Lytechinus pictus: one gene and its partner. The protein of the gene in region 2 interacts with the protein of the main gene of each other region in a pairwise test. Links are inferred from orthologs where the notes say so. Each region holds a gene or a part of one and is shown on either strand. Other genes may lie near its edges.

Region 1 (9,712 bases), on a different chromosome or scaffold from region 2:
CATTTCATAATAAAGTTTTAAAGCTGACATAATTGTGGTAAATGAAGGTAACTCTTTTCTCAATTTGGCTAAATATATCTCTTTTCTTACCATCATGACACAGTTAGAGCATTATTATTTGTACCACAAAATCCAAACAATGTGTTTTCATTCGTTAATACGATCACCTCTCGAGTATTTTGAAATATCCATGATTCTATTCTCGACCATATTACATTAGAATGAGTACAAAGGCAAAATATATGCATAATTGTTTCATCATTATCAATACAAAAAGTACATTTCGTATTTGTTACTATACCACATTTCAACAGAGAATCTTTCATATACAATATTTTATCTAAAATTGTAAACCACCTATGTTTATATCCATTGTTGCCTGAAAAGGGATCAAACAAAAAGCAACCCAAAGGTCATCTCAAAAACCTAACAGACCTTTCCAGCTGACAAGAGCCTTACATTCTTTAACTTCAAAGTGAAAAAAAGAGCGATATATATTTGAGCAACCTACGCGTGTTTTCACAACAAGTTGCAAAGCTTCAGGAATGATTGGTTCAATAGATTTAGTAATTATATGTGAATCTGTGGGAAAACCAGAACTAATTGCGTCACAAAGACCGTAATACTGTAGAAAATTGGTTTGTATACCATACGCATGTTGAAATTCAAAGTATGGAAAGAAGGTACCATCTGTTCTAAGAATGTCATTAACAAAATGTATTCCTCGTAAATCCCAAGCCCTGAAATAGATTGGTTTGTTATTTATTTTCATTTGAGGGTTATTCCATAGAGGCTGACAGGCTATGTCATCAATTAACAATTCAAGCAAAAAAGCAGTACACACCTCAAAACCCTTTTAAAACATGTTCCGGCATAATCGTGATATAGTCCCCAAATCCCAAAATGGGGATTATTAGAATCACACCTACCAGAACGCATGAAAATCACTTCCTTTCTCCAGAACACAGTCCCCAACTCTCGCACAGCTCGAGAACTTGCGAAATGATAACACACACAAATGAAACACACTTACACGTACACTTGGATTCTCTCCCTATTATATACTCGTGATACAGTCCCCACTCTATGGGAAATCAAGTTCACTTTGCACGCAGTGGGGATAGCTCCAACAGTACATTATACTCGTGATACCGTCCCCTCACAACATAAAATCGTGCTCGTTCGACAAGGGGATGGGGACAGTTTCCCAGTGCAACGTGACAAGGAAGACTCATTCAAAACCTTCGGGAATTATTGTCATTATCATATTATATTATCATTATTATCATTTTATCATTATATTATTATGGTTATTTAATCAAAATTATCATCATTATTATTGTTATTATCAATATTATTGTTATTTAAACATAATTATCATTATTATTATTGTTATTATCATTATTATTGTTATTTAATCATAATTATCATTATTATTATTGCTATTATCATTATTATTATTATCATTATTAATATCATTATTATTATTACTATCATCATCATATATCATTATTATTTTTTATTATTGTTGTTGTTATTATTATTATTATAATAATGATGATAATATTATAAATTATTATATTATCATTATTATTCTTTATCATTGAAAATGTGCCCCTTCCATCCATTCTGTTCCTTGTATTTCATTTAATTCCTACAAATGAAATCACTGTAGACTCATAATAACGTTTGGGTATTAATTATTATCATAATTATTATCATCATTGGCATCATTTTCATTATTGTTGTTGTTATTATTGAAAGAGTCACCCCAAAACATTAAAGTAATCAATACAAATATGTGACGGAAATGAAAAGTAAAGTAATGATAACAACAATAGTATAATGATGGGGATGATGATAATAAAGATTAATAACAATAATGATGTTGATAATAATTATGATAAAGGTTAATATAATGGTAATAATAGAGAATAATAACAATAACAATAATTATCATAAAAATAATAAATAAAAGATAAATAATGTTAACAATGTAAATAATGTTTTTATTATTGTTGTTATTATTATTATTATAATAATGATGATAATATTATAAATTATTATATTATCATTATTATTATTATTCTTTATCATTGAAAATGTGCCCCTTCCATCCATTCTGTTCCTTCAATCCATGACCACCTAATTCCAATATTGTATCTCTCTATTGTCATTTGTATCTGTTTAATACTTGTTTTACATGTACCTTATATTTTCTTGCCTTATTATTGCCCATTGTATTTGTTATTACTGTATTCTATACTCTGTATTGATTTTTATTGGAATTGAATAAAACATTGAATTGAATTGAACAAAAAATAAGGATAACAATATTAAGTAAAAAAAAATAAATACCATAAAAAATAATGACAATAATGATAATAATTACGATAATACCCAAAAGTTATGAATGAGTCTACAGTGATTTCATTTGAAGGAATTAAATGAAATACAAGGAACGGACTGGATGGAAGGGGCACAATACCAATGATAAAGAATAATAATGATAATAATAATATAATAATTTATTATACTATTATCACTATTATGATGATAATAATAACAACAACAATAAAGAATAATATTTATTATGATGATATTAATAATAATATAATAAAAATAACAATAATAATAACAACAGCAATAATAATACAATAAGGTATAATAACAATATTAATAACAACAATAATAAAGAATAATGATTAATGATGATGATTATAATAATAATATAATAAAGAATAATAACCATAATAACAACAACAATAATAAAGAATAATAATGATATATGATGATATCTATAAAAATAATTATATTAATAATGATAACAAAATATTGATAATAAAAATAATAATAAAAAAAACAATAATATAATAAAGTATAACAATAATAATAACAATGATAAAGAATAATAATGATGTATGATGATGATAGTAATAATAAAATAAATAATAACAATAATTGCGATTAAATAACAATAATAATGATAACAATAATGATAACTATGATTAAATAACAATAAAAATAATTATGATAAAATAATAATGATAAAATAATAATGATAAAATGATAATAATGATAATATAATATGATGATGACAATAATAATAATAATTCCCGAAGATTTTGAATGAGTCTTCCTTGTCACGTTGCACTGGGAAACTGTCCCCATCCCCTTGTCGAACGAGCACGATTTTATGTTGTGAGGGGACGGTATCACGAGTATAATATACTGTTGGAGCTATCCCCACTGCGTGCCAAATGAACTGTGTATCCCATAGCGCGGGGACTGCATCACGAGTATACTATACTGTTGAAACTGTCCCCACCGCCGTGAAAATCAAACTTGATTTCCCGCAGAGTCTGAGAGTGGGGACTGTATCACGAGTATATAATAGGGAGAGAACCCAAGTGTAAGTGTGTTTCATTTGCGTGTGTTATCATTTCGCAAGTTCTTGAGCTGTGCGAATCTAATAATCCCTATTTTTGGATTTGGGGACTATATCACGATTATGCCCATGTTCCAAACAATCGCGCATGTTGGTGACTTCCATTCCAATGCATTCGTCTTTGTGACTTTGTCAGGAAGATGCGTGCGACCGCGAACAAAATTTTGAATTTAATGTATTCCTTTGTTTTTAAACATCGCTGATTCGATTTCGACTTTAGAAGCTTAACTCAATAACTGCCGATCCGATGTACAAACATTCACAAAAGGCAGAGTCTGGAGCACTAAAGTTTTATCTCAAGTCGAAGAGCTGAATTGCCTAAGGCTAAGCTCCTGTCCTTGATCGAGCACTCGCCCCTCCTCTGACTCTGAGTCTAGAGTCTGAATCTCTCCTCAATACGGTCCGGCCGCAAATATAAAAGCAGCAGCAGAAACGGATCTGCATTTCGTCCCCGGCCAGAGTTCCCCGGTGCAAAGGCTATGCATTACCGTTGGCGTAAACGAGGTCCGAGTTCGACTTGGGCCGCGCGAGCAAGCGCTCAAATACCCTCGGTTATAGAATACACCTAGAGTATAGCATCATTTACTGAAAATCTTAATACAGTATATCATAATAATACAAATACCACTACTTTCTTAAATTACCTCTGCGTCTGTCTTTGTCGACATTTTGTTGGAAAACAGGAGGCGTATTGGTCCTTCTTTTTGTTCACTGCACAGCTATCGCATAAGTTATACAAACTTTAATCGATGAGGGCAGCAGATGCATGCATGAGAAGCCAGATTGATCACACAAAAAAAGGTCTAAATAAAATAAATATAATTAGGTTATTGGAATAGCTATATTACAAAATATTACAAAGCAACCCCCCCCAAAAAAAAAAAGAATCCAGGGAAGGCCCGCTGATGGGCGTCGGTAGGCCCCAGAGTAGGCCTAATAACAATTAAAGGGGTACTCCACCAGACTGACAAGAAATGTTTTGAATAGATAAAGTAAAATAAGACGAACAATCACTGAAAGTTTCATCAAGGAATAACAAAGACAAAGTTATGATATTTCAAAGTTTTTGCATTATTTCGGTGAATCAGTTCTATGCATTTATTCATGTAAACCTACTACCTGCTACCTGCTACTACTCAAGCCATATTCAGCTCATCTCATTTGGTTTACATCAGGTGGGTGTTTCATGAAAGTTGTCAGCACTGACTAATTTGTCAGTGCTGACTAATGATTTCAGTGAATCCTTGGTTTTGATTGGCTGAAAGGCACTAGTCTCTGACTGTTACTATAGTAACTGTCAGAGAAAGACAACTTTTCAGTGCTGACAACTTTCATGAAACGGTCCCCAGACTCCTTTTCAGGACTTCACTCACTTTCAAGAAAAGAATATACTTCTAATTTTCTCTTTTCATCCTATATCTCGTCTTTCCATTTCAATCTTTCTGCCTGAGTTTCCTTCCCTTCTTCAAATTACACATGGTGGATCGTAAACCTTCTCCACGTTATCCACCATGCAAACCTATAAGAGATCATGTTTTTTCTGAATACCATGTCAAAATCAATCTCAAAGTTAGATTCTCATGAAAAGATGATTTTTTTTCTCGCTCGCTTCGCTTTCTCGGGACTTATATTAAGCAACTTTTTATCTGTGCGCGCCACGTTGCCCCCCCCCCCCCCCGGGCCCCCTCTCTCTTTGTACTTATCACACATTGAGCTTCGCCCTTATGGCAAGCCGTTTTAACATTTAAGCCTATTTCTTGATATCAAGAATTCATTTCTTTATATCAAGAATTCGATTTCTTGATATCAAGAATTACCATTGCTCGGGCCGGCAGAATCATAAAAAATCCTGTTCATACGCAACCACAATGCGTAGTCTTCGCCAGACCAGACGTATCGCTTACGTTCAGCATAACAGCAAAGACAATAAATGCAGCCTCCGCCTAGATTATAGGCTAGTTCATACCATAATTTGAAATTTTTGGCTCTTGCCCCCCAAAAGTTATTAGAATTTTAATCATTTGATTTGTGAAGGCGTCATTATGCGAGCAGCTTCCCTGCATATTGCATGGTAAAAAGTCAATGAAATGTCATTTTCTCAGAAAATTGAAAATGGCTTTTATTGCACCATCAGTATATCAATACACAAATTATTTCAAACGCGCTCCTAAAAAAAAAGAAAAATTAGTCGTCATGAACAATTAAACAGGACTTTTATGCATTTTATATTACAAAACATAATGGGGCAGCTGCTCGTTTATGACGTCATAAATTAAAAACCTTCACATTTTAATAACTCAACTTTCTTAATTTTTAATGGATTTTCCTCAAACCTTTACCAATATTTTTTTATTATTTTTATGCTATTTTTACAACAAACTTTTCGTCAGGGTAAATTTCCCCTTTAAATTACCTGCTTTATACCCCCGTATTTTTATGAACATCATTCTGCAGCAAATTCATTACATTTTTAAAGCCTATTGATAAGATTTTACTATTTTATCTACCCTACACTCTTAAACAGGTTGGACAAAAAGGCCCAATTTTCAACCATCACTGGGCAACATACTTTCCATACAACTATTGGTTAAAATCTGTCCAAATTGGGTAATAAATTTTCTCAATTGGATAATAATTGCCCAGAATATATATATATTATATTTTTTACCAACATACATTACCCAAAACAGTGGACAATATGTTGCCCAACATTTTTAGTGTGTATACGGCATGGGGTGTGGGTACATTACATTTATATTGACAAAGATTGAATTCATGTATGATAATTCATTGTATTAGATTTGTTTGCACATATCAAATTCAGATTATCATACTTAATAAAACAATACGAGTTCATGTTTTGTTGTATAGGGGTTATCATTATCTTGCCAAATTGTTTAAATCTCGCTATCTATCTTAGTTCTAAAGTCTATACATCTTTGGACCAAACAAAAAATAAACACCGGGAAATGCATCTTAATTTATTGATATAAGCAATTTCACAGTGACGTGGTTGTAAGTAAGTGTATACAGTCGATGATACATTCATCAGTTCAACCACACTGACTGAAAGGTATATCAAAATGGAGTTCAAGAAGATCACAAGACTAACAGTTTTTCTATGTCTCTTCTGTACTGTACTCTCTGTTAATGTACAACATGGAAAGAACTCTAGGTTTAAGAAATCAGCGGAAATGGAGGAAGCGTTGATGCATCCCAAAAGGATGTACAAACGAGCATCTACAACACAAAAGGATGCCAATAGCAAACGACCTCGTGTTGAAGATGGTGACGCCGGCATCGGTGAGATATCCCAATTCCTTGACGAAGGTTTTATGCGGCGAATGGAACTGGACGATTCAGAGATGCACGATCCGCCAAACATCAAGAAATCTTTACGACCACAAAATGGATATGACCTAGATGGGATGCATCGAAGGCCCGCGTCTTCATCACGAAAGGAACCCTCCATTTCCTCGCCCAAAGGCGGTGATGATGAAAATGGGGACGATGACATCGGTGAGATCTCCCAATATCTTGACGAAGGTTTGATGCGACGTATAGAACTGGATGATTCAGAGATGCACGATCAGCCAAACATCAAGAAATCTTTACGACCACAAAATGCTGACGACCTAGATGGGATGCATCCAAGGGCGCCTATACCACAAAAGGATTCCTTACCCAAAGGCGGTAATGCTGAGAGCGGTGATGCTGATATCGGCGACATCTCCCAATTTCTTGACGAAGGATTCATGCGGCGTATGGAGTTGGATGATTCAGAGATGCACGATCCCTCAAACATCAATAAATCTTCAAGACCACAACGGGGAATCGACGTCGTTGACATGCATCCGATTAAGCCTGGTGTACAAGGAGTTCAAGCCGAAGATGAAACTTTTGAAGATCCAGCCATCATTGATTCCGATTTATTTTCGCTGATGGGAAAGGACGTATTTCAGCAATTTGCATTTGATGACAGCGCCATGCACCAAGGCAAGACTGCAGATCAACAGTTCCACCCATCTTCAAAGTCAGAACGACCTCCAGAGGAAATGGGCCAGCGTATCATGCATCCTCACGGCGCCACTCGGAAGGACAATCCCGCCAAGGTGCCATCCAAGGAAGACGTCGCAACCGAACTTGATGAAGATTTCCTGCGGCAAATGGAACTTGATGACAGCCGTGTTCACTCTGTCGATGAACGTACAGGGTGGGAAAAATCTTCGTATTACAACGGCAAGGATAAAAAGGCAAGCCTTCGAATACATCCTGAGATGGCTCTTCAAAACCATGACGTGGGTGACCAAGATGCGGGTGACGAAATCGACGTCGATGATCTACTCGGACGAGATTTTATGAAACGCATGGAAATCGACGACTCATATCTTCATGATTCTAATCCACAGCTGCGGGAAGATGTCGCTGAAAGGTTCATCGAGAAGAGGAGTAGGCCTGGCATTTCTCGTCGCCTACTGTCCCTTCAAGAGGATGAGATTATGCCACAGATGGCGATGAAGAACGTAGGAAAGTTGGGCCAAATAAAAGCTCGGCGAGGTTTTCCAATTCATGCATCCTGTCGACTAAACTGGTGAGAAGTTGCATCCACAAAATCTTAACATAATTGAATTTGAGGAATTGTATATAGAGCTTTAGAAGAATGTTTATCATTTTGTTAAGTCATTTTATTGCATTATTCTATAGCTTCAACTTCATAATTTGCAGATTTACGTTGAATTCATGCAGCCCGGCTAACAGGCTTATAAGACCAAGTGGCTATCCCCTTTCCCACTTGGAACTCGATATTTTTTAGGGGGCGGCGGCGGCGGCGGGGAAACAGATTTACGATTGTTTATTTTGAAATGTTAATTTATTAATTGTTTTATCGTGGCTCTTTCATTTTTACAGGCTATATGCGTGGTATATCCATTCTGTATAAATTTCTTATTCAAAGTTTTAAGCTCAATGATGACGACTCAGTGATTCTCATAATTGACCTGATTATACTCACCCAGTGGAGCTCGGGGGTACTTGCCCTCCTACCCTCCCCCCATTTACTAAAAAACGGGGAGGGAGAAATACAAAGAAACATGATGGGAAACTAAATAAGGAAATATAAGACATATATATTTATGTAATTTCATGAAAATAATTTGCTCAGGACCTATACCGTTCATCACTGTCTTATGGCGCTCGATATTGGCTGTTTAATGAAATAGGGCCTAATCCCGTTCAGAATTAAACGGTGCTAATAAAAAATCAAATGCCATGCATTTTCAACTTTCAGGTCAATACATAGGCCTATACATCAAAATAATGTTTGTCCTTGCGCTTCGAGCTTTTATCAGTTTATCCGTGACATGTTAATTTCAAAGTATAATGGAATTAATGAACCTGCTTTATTGATCTCTGAGAATTCGGAGGGCCGGGGGTGTACATCCAGTGGCGTAGCTAGGATTTTTTTCCTGGGGGGCACTGGGGGGTCCTTGCTTTTTCAGGGGGGGGGGCACCATTTTTTCCGTTGTGTATGTATGAGTCACAAGGGCGGATCCGACTTTCGCCAATAGGGGACGGGGCCCGAAATTATCTTCAGCTATATTTCCCCCGATCAGTCACTTCTTAGTTTTATTCTTATAGAACAACATAAACATGAAATAATCTCATAAGCCTTATAAAAAGTGCGAGCGCGAAGCGCGAGCGATTTTTTTTACTTTCATGTATTTTGTCCTGAAAATGTAATATTCTGTGCAACGTTATGTGTGAGTCCTGAACAAGATTCGTATGTAACTAGATGGTTACTGCGAAGGCCAAGCGCGAGCAGAAATTTTTATTAAATGTTCTAGCATTATCGAAAAGGGACCTGTTAAGGACTGCTTACAGTTACCCACGAAGACGGTATATATTTCAATAATGCGAGCGCGAAGCGCGAGCAAATTTTTTTTGACATTCCGACCTAAAAAATTGTCATTCTAAGCACTTTTTGTATTAATAAATGGGATACAGTAGGTTTGTAAGTAAACAATTGATGCGAGCGCGAAGCGCGAGAGGAAGAAAATTGAGATTTTAGACCTAAAAGCGGGACACTCTATTCATATTTTGTAAATCATAAATAGGATATAGTTAATTGGGTATCATTAATAATGCGATCGTGAAGCGTGAGCAGACAATTATTGATATTCTGATGTGAAACTGGATAATATAAGTACATTTAATATAAAGAATATGCAGGCTATCGCGCATGTTTTAGATTTAGACCTAGAATCT
Region 2 (10,418 bases):
GCATTGTGCTTCTTTTTCTCGGAGCTAGCTAGGGCCAGAGATGGAATAAAAATAAAAAATAATGCCAGTATAATACTATAAATACTTCCATATGAACATGACATGCTTTGCTGACATTGTATGGCCATAAAATCTTATTAAATCGTAATTATTTAACATCCAATAATAATTAATATGAATTTAGTGCTCGATCCGAGACATATTTATTTCGATCGCATGCTCTGATCTTGTCTTGTGTCTAAACTTAAGAAAATATGGATTATCATAACAGGATTAATTCTCGAACATTGTCATTATTCATATTCCACAATATTTCCTCACAATCGTTATATCAGCATTGAATACCGATTCAAATGACCATCCAGAGAAAATTACGTATTTATTCCCGTCAATTTGGAGCTCATTTTGGATCTATAACTACACAATCTCAGGCAAGTTACAGTGCTCCCGCTGGTTGCACTTTTTTGCTGGCGCTGGCTCTGGCCGGGGCTGCGGGCGGGGCTGGTGTGTGCGAGTCTGGACCGCGAATGCTAGTTGACCGAAAAATCGTTTGGATCGACTCTGCGTGATTCATTTCTTTGATATTGTTTCATTTTAAACTTATATATTGTCATCTGCAAATATCATTGTTGATGATATTTTGGGAAGAATTTTGCATTGGTCCTCGGCTTTTTTGTGTTTTGTGATCATGGAAAATACAAACGAACTTTGCTCTGTCATCTGCTTGTGCAACGCTCACCCAGCCAGCGCATACCGTCAGTGCATGCAATGCGTGCATAGCGCATTGACGCGACGGCCGGAGCAAAAAAAATATGGACTCGATTTTCCCCGCCGCGCCTTCAAAATTCGATTCATCGATGTTCGATCGAATTAAAGCTGTCGAATACCGGTTTTCAAAATAATCGATATGACTCAGGCTTAATTTAAATATATATGCTAATTTTGTAATGCAATTATGAGTTTTACTGAGGCAAGGAAGCCCAGCAAATAAAGCAGTGCACTACCAGACTTCATCGAGTTAAGTTCAATTTGTTCCTGTGTCTTCATAATTAAGTTCCATCTTCTCCTCTCCGTTTGCTTCTGTTTGATGTATGATAGAGCTTGTGTTATTCCCTTCTTCAGTTAAACATTTATTTCCCCCTTAAGACTTGTATTATTTTCAACCCCACAGTGGCAAGTAATATGGCAAAAAAAAATTCATTTTTCAATCTCTATTTTTAATTAAGAAAAAATAATTTAAAGATTCAAATTTATATAAGAGCCAAGTTATGATGAATAGCTGTATTGGAAACTGACAGTGTAAGAAAATCAAGCATTTGTCCCATAGAAAAAGAGAAAATAAGCCAAAATTGCCACCCTTATTTTGCCACACATGGAGATGTAACCATTATATCATAACCTTGTTCATTGAATGAGTGGATGTAACTGAGAACAATGTTATATCATAACCTTGTTCATTAAATGAGTGGCAGGGCCAGGGTATCGTAGACAGCAAAAAATTCCATGAGAACACACACGAGAATCGAAAATCACTCAAAATCATAGGCAATCTTCTCCTAATGCTTAGACCGCGGTCTAACTCTGTGCTGAAATTACGGGGAGCCAAAAATATGTTCATGTATAGATCTATTGCTTACGACTTACAATTACATGATTTACTATTTTGTTTCCTTTTGGCTTTGCTTTCATAATAATACTTTGAAATACTTCACTCCTCTTCAGAGTTCAGTTATCATTTCCAGACAATTATGAACAATATGGATGTCATTATGAGTGAGTTAATAAATTGGATGTGTATTGTAATTGTTAGGGATTTGTGCTGCAACTAGTACTAGCTCTCCATAGTTACACCACAACTTTAAACCAGGGTTTAATTTAAACCCGGGTTCAGAATACAACTTTAAACTAGGGTTTAATTTAAACCAGAGTTCAGAATACGTACGGGTCAATGAATCATGCATGCTCGTAATTAGACCAAAAGCTTCAGTCTCTGTATTATGGTTGTTCCGCTGAACTGCGTTGGCTCACTCACCAATACATACCGTAAGTAACGGTCTATTAACCGTACGTTTTTCTCGGCGGGATAGAGGGGTATGAGCCACGGGTAATAAGAAGCGATTATTAAACGCACCCACCTTCATAACACTCATTTCGACTTTTATTCTCGGTTCAAAGCAGCGAAGTTCCCTGGCTAAGTTCAAAGAGAAGCCAAGCATACTCGGTAATATTTTGTCACAGCTGAGCGAGCGCGAGAGTTGAGTTAGCTGAGCTAGCTTGCGTTGTATTGTGGTAATAGTGCGACTTAAGCTGGCGCTATTCATTTTAACCCTCGATCCCCTCTAAAGTCCTGTTTCGCGCCAGCTTATTTTTTCTTTCCCGTTTGCTTTTCATAAGATAGCATGTACACCACGCAACGAGAGAGACGGCACGAAGCCGTCAAAACAACTGTAAAAAATGCCAATTTCTTTGTTCTTGAACCTTCCTTCCAGTAATCCCGTATCCAAAATTCATGCTAAGACATCGAATGCTAGACAAATTCTGAAAGTGATTGTGAGTTTGTGATGCAAGAAATGTGAATATTTCTTCCTCCTACGGCGGGAAAGACACAGATCATTATTTGATAAGATGTACTGGTACCGTATCGTAGTTTGCAATGTACAAGAACAGCAGTGCTGTGTGTGTGTACACTGTGACTGTGAGGTGAGTGAGTGTGTAAGTGGCCAATATTGTCGGGACCTTTCTTTCTTGCAAACATTTGTAGATGAATTGATCAAGAACAGCAGATTTCCGCATACCGGTAATCTCTTTGGATACTTTGAAATCTTTAACTTAGTTTTTTTTTTTTTTTTTTTTTAGTCCAAAGTTGGGGGTGCGGTTAAAGGGATTGTTTAACTTTGTGAGCAGCTGATTTACAAAATTCTCAAACTGAGACAAAACATGTGTATGAGTGCATGTATTTGTCCCCAAAAACCCTGAAACAAACCACAATATAGAATGAAAAACTCTAATTTAGATACAAGTAGCAATTTATTAGCTTGATTTTGAGAACCGTCTAGTAGACAGGTTAAGCTTATGACCAGTTTACTCCAATTCAAAAAGTCCGTTGGCTATTTTGACTGCCTTCTGTTGTGTGTATCTCCTATTTACACACACACGCTATTAGCTGCACTGAACATTCAGTGTATACCTAGTACACACTGTATGTAGGCCATGCTGTGTTCATCTAGAGTTCGTGTGTTGTGGTGCACAGGTTCACTGTATACACATGTCATAGTTATTGAAACCAACTCCCAATTATTTTCAAACTTTGGTTTACATCTTTAAGGTTTTAAAATTGATCCTGTGGATATAATACTTTCATGACTTTGAAACTTTTGGGATGGTATTTTTACACTATAAGCCTAATGTTAAGCCCATTTTCAAGAACCAAAATGAGAATTTTTTAAATCAGAACAAAGTGAAATGATCACTTTAATCCACGGACGCGACGCTCGCGTCCGTAACGTTGGGGAATTACAATAAGAAACAAGATGGCGGCGTAAACATCGGGCAAGTCTCTTCTGTCTTTTCACAATATTTTCTCATTTTTTTGATGAATTCTTGTTTAAAAATAACGAGAGCGTATAAATGTCGGAAATGAAGTTTTATCCCATGTACATCAGACTCAGAGGCAGAGCTAACCCAGAGAGCTCCCGCCCGCACAGCGGGCGGGAGCCCAGAAGCTTACCGTGTATTTTACCATTGTCACCGGACTAGGGTGATTTATGGTCTAAATATTTCTCCAAATGAATTGTGAAAACAGAAAGTATACAATTACCACGATTATATGGATGAAGGTCTAACGAGTGGCAGATTCCTGACATCTGGGCACAGTCTGGAACCCCAAAAAAACGAAAAGTTCTCTCCTTCTACCCCGTCTCGATCGGCCATTTTCGTTAAAAATCGTAACAAAATGGCCGATCGAGACTGGGTAGAAGGAGAGAACTTTTCGTTTTTTTGAGGTTCCAGACTGTGCCCAGATGTCAGGAATCTGCCACTCGTTAGACCTTCATCCATATAATCGTGGTAATTGTATACTTTCCGTTTTCACAATTCATTTGGAGAAATATTTAGACCATAAATCACCCTAGTCCGGTGAAAATGGTAAAATACACGGTGAGCTTCTGGGCTCCCGCCCGCTGCGTGGGCGGGAGCTCTCTGGGTTAAGGCAGAGCTAGATCTTTTTTTAGTTTTAGTTTTAGTTTACTTTTAGAACAAAATAGAAGGAAAGTAGAAATCTCGGGGGCGAAAGTTTCAGGGTTTTTTGCGGTACACGCAGATGAATAGGTAGGACTCCCTGGCTTCGTTTAGAGTAAGCCTACGTAGTACGTTAATAAATTATTTTTACTCTCAAGAAGCCGCCTGGCTAATATGGGCGGAGTCAGACTCAAGTCAAGGACTCCTTGATCACTCGATACATGAATCACTACGCATCGGACTACACAGAGCTTTGCAGCGAGAATTCACTTCGGTGCCACATAAATCCATCTCTGACCAATAACGACCATGAAATAGACTTTGTTATTAATACTATAAAAGTGAAATAAAATAAAGAACCACTTACAGCATTGCTTGGTCGGCTGGATATCCTAAAGAAGGATTTATTGAGCCTCTTTTCTCCCATGGTTTCGGCGGAGCGGCCATTGCTAAATCTGCTATTAAAATCTGCTAGTTAGAATTTGTATTACGTCATGACGCGACGGGTCATGGCCTCGATCTTATATATCTAGCTCTCGATCTCCCCCCCCCCCCCCCCTCTAGGTACATTCTCCACAAAAGTGCACCAATAGGATTGGACAAACTTTCAAATTTTGACATACGAAAATTAATTAAACTCATTTGAATTCAGAAACTTTAATACTTCGAGAACACATAACAACAAACGGGTGATTTTTGACCCCAACATATTTTTCAAGAAATAGCATTGAACTTGAACACCTTTTTACATAGTTTTTACCACCCGTCAGATACGTTACCATTAGGCCTTAGACAAGAAAAATCGCTGTGGATGTATCATTTGTGGACCAATAGTATCAGTAAATATTTCAAAGTAAACGTAACTAATATACACACATGATTAAAAAGTAATTCTTGACATTTGATTGGTCGAGATGTATCAAAATGATAAATGTTATAAGTCTGTAAGTCAAAATCAGCCCGAAAAAAATAGTATATTTTCAGATAAAATACATTACCTAAATTGCAATTCATATCTCTAATACAATTTGATCTTATATTGCTTTGAAACATTAATAAAAATCATACATAAATACTGAAATTATTAAAGAAATTTCATTGTAAGCACACTTTACTACAGATTTTATACATTCTGAATTACAAGAAAAGAGAAAATTGGTAACGTATCTGACATACTTCCACAAAATTTCGTTTACTGTGGTTTATATCTCAAGATAACGATAAACTCAATCGTGCAATATATTTTACATCCAAACGAATTATCAACTACGAACATTCAGATTTATAATCCCGATTAAAAAACACTACTCAGTAATGCAAAGTCATGTATTCATCTATAGCATATATACGTGCATGCAAATATATAACTGTAATATGTCAATATGGTAACGTATCTTACAGACATCTATACTACAAAATATTGTTACTGTGACGCAATTACATAATTATGTTCTGTTTGAAATGTATGAGCTAAACTTTTGATTTAAAGTGCACAACGTACTTAGTCCATTTCCTTCTATAAACTCATTGATAAGATATCTAACACTATTAAGATGGAACAATATCATCAAATTTATTACCTGCGAGTGCAAGGCAAATATATAACTGTAATATGTCAATATGGTAACGTATCTTACAGACATCTATACTACAAAATGTTGTTACTGTGACTTATAATAGTAACATGCGTAAACTCACTCTTGCATTTTGTCTTACATCAAAATGTTATATCCACCTCGAACATAATGATTATTTATGATGATCACCTTGACATAGTTCAGTAAATAAAATTATGCATCGATAAACAAACACAGACAAAATTAACCTAAGACATAATTATAATACTGTTTCAAATATATGACCAAAGCTTTTGATTTCTAATGTGTACAGTCTATTATGTAGCTTTGTTAACTTTTAATGAAATATGTAACATCATGCAGTTTGGAAAAACATGATAAATTTGATTACATCCGAGTGTTTAGACGAATATATAACTGCAACGTAGGGTAACGTATTTGACTGTTGATAATTTAAACTTATAAGTACAATGTTATTTCACTTGGGCTATACTTGGTGTTTCGGCTCTGCTCCTAAAAAAAGAACCTTCTTAAATTGTATAAAAGATCTCATTCTTAACAATTAATCACGCTGAATAGTTATAAAAAGATTTGTATAAATTAATGTGTTTCCACATGTTCTGTCATAAAATTTGTTTTTAAAATTTAAAGAGAGCCAAGGAGCTATACGGTAGATAGTGGTGGTAACGTAGCAGACACAACTCTCAAGTAATTAAAATGTCTTTGTAGCACATCTGATTCATCATCCACTCAAATATTTCGGTACATTAAAGCTTACACTATATTGACGGATTCTACTTTTTCATATTTTTGTACATTCAGAGAGCCAAGACAAAACAACTAGACTACGGAATCGAAATATTCTCCTTCCACATATCAGTTGACAATTAACATTATGTTGCCGCTTGTACATGATGTGGCACGTATTAAAGCAAAAAGCCGGGTAAAAAAATGATTAGCATGATTTAAGAAGGATAATACAAACCGGATAACAACCGACAGCAAGTAAGGAAAATATTATATTTCAAAATTTCACATTTTCAGAAAACATATTCTAATGAGCAAGTTGTTAATGTCATCCCCTCATAATTTGTCACGTTTAAATGACATTTTGGATTGTTTTTGCCAGCATTGAGGCAACCATACCCCTTTAAGATATGTCAGAACAAATATTTAAGAACAAATAGCATCTCTCATTCATTTTGTTTTAATTTGGGGTTAGTTGAATAGGAAAACTTTACTGTATCATATTTGATAAATGGATTTTTTAAAGGATTTCTGTAAATTAAATGTGAAGAAAATTGTAAGGGAATTACATCATTAACTTGCTCATAAAAAAAGAAATGTTTTCCGAAAAAAAATTAATAACGTCATTATTTTCCTTTTTTATTAAAATATGCCATTTTCATCATTCTTGCATCACAGGGAAAGGATTCCTTTTCTTTGTAAATTGTTCGAAAAATGGGAGGATATGGAAAGTGCATAAATACAAGTAATGCTGTCCAAATATTTGTCACCTGCAAATTCTAATATTGATCCTTTTACTTAATTTGTGCTTCTTTATATTTTTTGGCCAAATCTTCGATTAGTGTCAACTGTTCGATGGTTAACTCAGATTTTCTCTCTGACTTTCCGGATCTCAGCACGCGTTTTACCCATGTCTTTTTTTTCTCTGAAATAAACGAGAGACAGACAGAGAGGAAAAATATCAGCATGGGATTTTTATATGTACATTATTTTATAATTAATAACAAATAAATATAAAATAGTTAGTCGTCGTGTACGTAAAAACATGACATTAATATCTAATAAGATACGTTACCAGTCGGGTAAGATACGTTACCGTGCCTATCTGGTAACATTCTAATGTTCATGCGAGCTATCACACACACTAAACAATCGCATGCATACGTGTTAGATGTCTTAAGCCTATATGTAACTGTTCCATCAACTTCAAATAACTCTCAAATGTATCATAGTACTCAAACAGATAAATGAACTATATTCTGTCAATATTCAAAAAATGAAAATTCTTACCAACCACGTAGCTGGGATGAATAACAAACGGCGAGAAGCCTTACATCTCCCTCAGACTCTCAGCACGTAACGCTCAATGCTTTGAAGGGTGAAGAAGCGCTAAAAGCATGTGCAAAATTAGAGAATGCGCGAATGGGCCTATCAACGCGCAATGCGGTAACGTATTTGACGGTAACGTATTTGACGGCCTTTAGGATCAACCTTGTGTTTTCACAAAATAACAACCTTTTCTTTCATAACTCCCATGTATTACCATAAGCAATGTAGAGTGCTCTAAAACAAAATACATTATAACTTTGTTAACCAAGTTATTTTTCTGTAATAGAGCAAAGTTTCAGTAACGTATCTTATTTTACCTTATGGTAACATACACAATTGAAAACTTTGTGTCTGAATATATTCATTATTATAGAGATTCAGTATACACTATTTGTATTTATATAGCCTTGAAATGGACTTATTCACTACACCGAAATACAGATCACTGCATTATTGTCTTCGTTCTTTTTAGGGTATCATACAAAAAGTAACGTATCTTATCCCGATTTGGAGACACCTTCGCTAAGACCGCAGGAAAAAATATACAAAAGTTTTTTCGCTAAGCAATATGCTTTTTTATTTAGGCACCGAAGGCATTATAAATTAGTGGACAAAACATGAAGTTCGGATATTACGGTAAAGAGCGGGAGTATGAAATATAATCACACAGGTCGCTGGAGACATGGGTAAAATGAGCACATATATGTTTTGTGCTGTCGTATATAATTTTTTCATGAGGTGGGGTGACCTCGGTTGATTTTAATTCTACTCAACATATTCTGTAGTATAAATAAAATTCAAAAAATTGGTTTCCTGATGAATTAAATTATGGTTTATAGCCTAGAGAAAGTTGGAGACACGAAAATGTCCTTTGGTGCCCCTTTTCGGAGAATGGCCCTCTAGCTAGCTGCTACCGCTAGCTCTAGACCCCCCCCCCCTCTTTCTCTCTCCCTCTCTGTCTTTCCTCTGCTTGCATCCCCCCTCCCTTAATTCTTACTTTCTACCTGTTTCTCACTCTCTTTCTCTCCCTATCTATATTTCTTTAATTCCCTTCCCCTCCCTAACCCTGTCCGACCCTAGCGTGCCACCCCAAATCCCATAATGGCAACTACCATGGTAACTAGGGCTCAGCAGCCAATCATAATCAAGGTTTCCATGGTGGTTGCCATAATGGCAAAGTTACAACAGTTCCAAGTCCTTTATGAATCGGGCCCCTGGCTCTGAAATCTTGTCGATCAATTCACGAGCACCCCCCCCCCCCCCCATATTAAAAGAAATGGAATAATTTCATACAGAAAAAATGATTACATTTTAGACTTCCCAATATCGAAATTCTGTCTTATGCAGCAGCACAATAAAAAAATTGAAGGTTTGATGAAAATTTTAAAAACAGAATTATTAAATTTTTTTAATATTGTGACATAATTATGAGAGCATCTCTTCCATAAACATGAAATTACCGTCTGATCGTGACTTTCTATCATGGTCAGCCCCACCCCTCCTCCCCCCCCCTTCAAAACCATTCTGCTGCCTGTCTTCCATACATCACATGCATAGGCAGCAGAAGCGGGGGGGGGACGTCCCCCCCTAAATTTGAGGTGGGGGGACGATCCCCCCTAAATTTCTTGTTGATAACTTTTTTTTTTTTTTTGCTTGTCAAAAAAATTTGGTGGTCCCCCCTAAATTTTCAGGCTTCCGCCGCCAATGGTCATATGATATATTCCATCTAAATTTGTGATACAAGAAGTTGTGGTCATCTTCACAAGCAAAGGACAGACAATCATATCATATTTAGAGACCACACTCTTGCAAATAAACTCGCAATGATAGTCTCTATGGCAGCCATACTCATTGACAGTCATTTTCTTTAGTTCAATAATAGGAAAGTAAGCAAGAACCCTCACCTAGAGGCTAATCCCACCTCGGGACTAGTGTAATGGTTGAAAACAAATTGACAAAACACGTGAAAACATTCTGATACATACTACAGTATTTCTTTATTACATTATGGGGAATAAACAGAAAATAGAGCTCAGAGACTGACATAGGTACAAAATAACTTACTAACCAGACAAATGCTTTAAATAAAATATGAGATAAACAAAGCTATCATAAATTGTATCTGACAAAATGGAAGGAATCCGAGGAGCATTTTCATGAAGAGCATTGTCAGTGAATTCCAATGACTAATTTTCCCACAGCCAATCTGATGCAAAGAAATTCAGTAGCTGATAACATCCATCTTTGTAAATATCAGACAAAACGCTTCATGGAAAGCTCCCCTGATACTGATAGCTGGCTTTATTAATTTAAGAAGATGGACAGCGACAAAAATGTTATGTTTTTAGAATACCAGTTATTAACAATCAATTCAGGTGCCCATTTTTTTTTTTCGTATCTTTAATCCAAAAGTTTGAATGTTTCTTTGTGAAAATAAAACAAGATTATAAAAAAGCGCCAAAACATAATCAGCACTATCGACCACACATGCACAAAGTCGGTTTCAAAAACTAGTGGCAATATAACTGG

Evidence for each region.
Region 1: the proteins of peroxisomal membrane protein PEX13-like (region 2) and peroxisomal membrane protein PEX14-like interact in a two-hybrid assay, tested with the Homo sapiens proteins (2 studies listed by BioGRID and IntAct, with this or other methods). The link is inferred for Lytechinus pictus from reciprocal best matches to the Homo sapiens genes PEX13 and PEX14.

Annotation. Positions count from the first base shown.
Region 1 is NC_087258.1:9,819,881-9,829,592, forward strand, and holds the start of peroxisomal membrane protein PEX14-like, read right to left. Parts: upstream 4,188-9,712; 5' UTR 4,117-4,187; coding exon 4,093-4,116; intron 1-4,092. UniProt on the Homo sapiens protein: Component of the PEX13-PEX14 docking complex, a translocon channel that specifically mediates the import of peroxisomal cargo proteins bound to PEX5 receptor.
Region 2 is NC_087261.1:4,568,183-4,578,600, reverse strand, and holds the start of peroxisomal membrane protein PEX13-like, read right to left. Parts: upstream 4,779-10,418; 5' UTR 4,684-4,778; coding exon 4,604-4,683; intron 1-4,603. UniProt on the Homo sapiens protein: Component of the PEX13-PEX14 docking complex, a translocon channel that specifically mediates the import of peroxisomal cargo proteins bound to PEX5 receptor.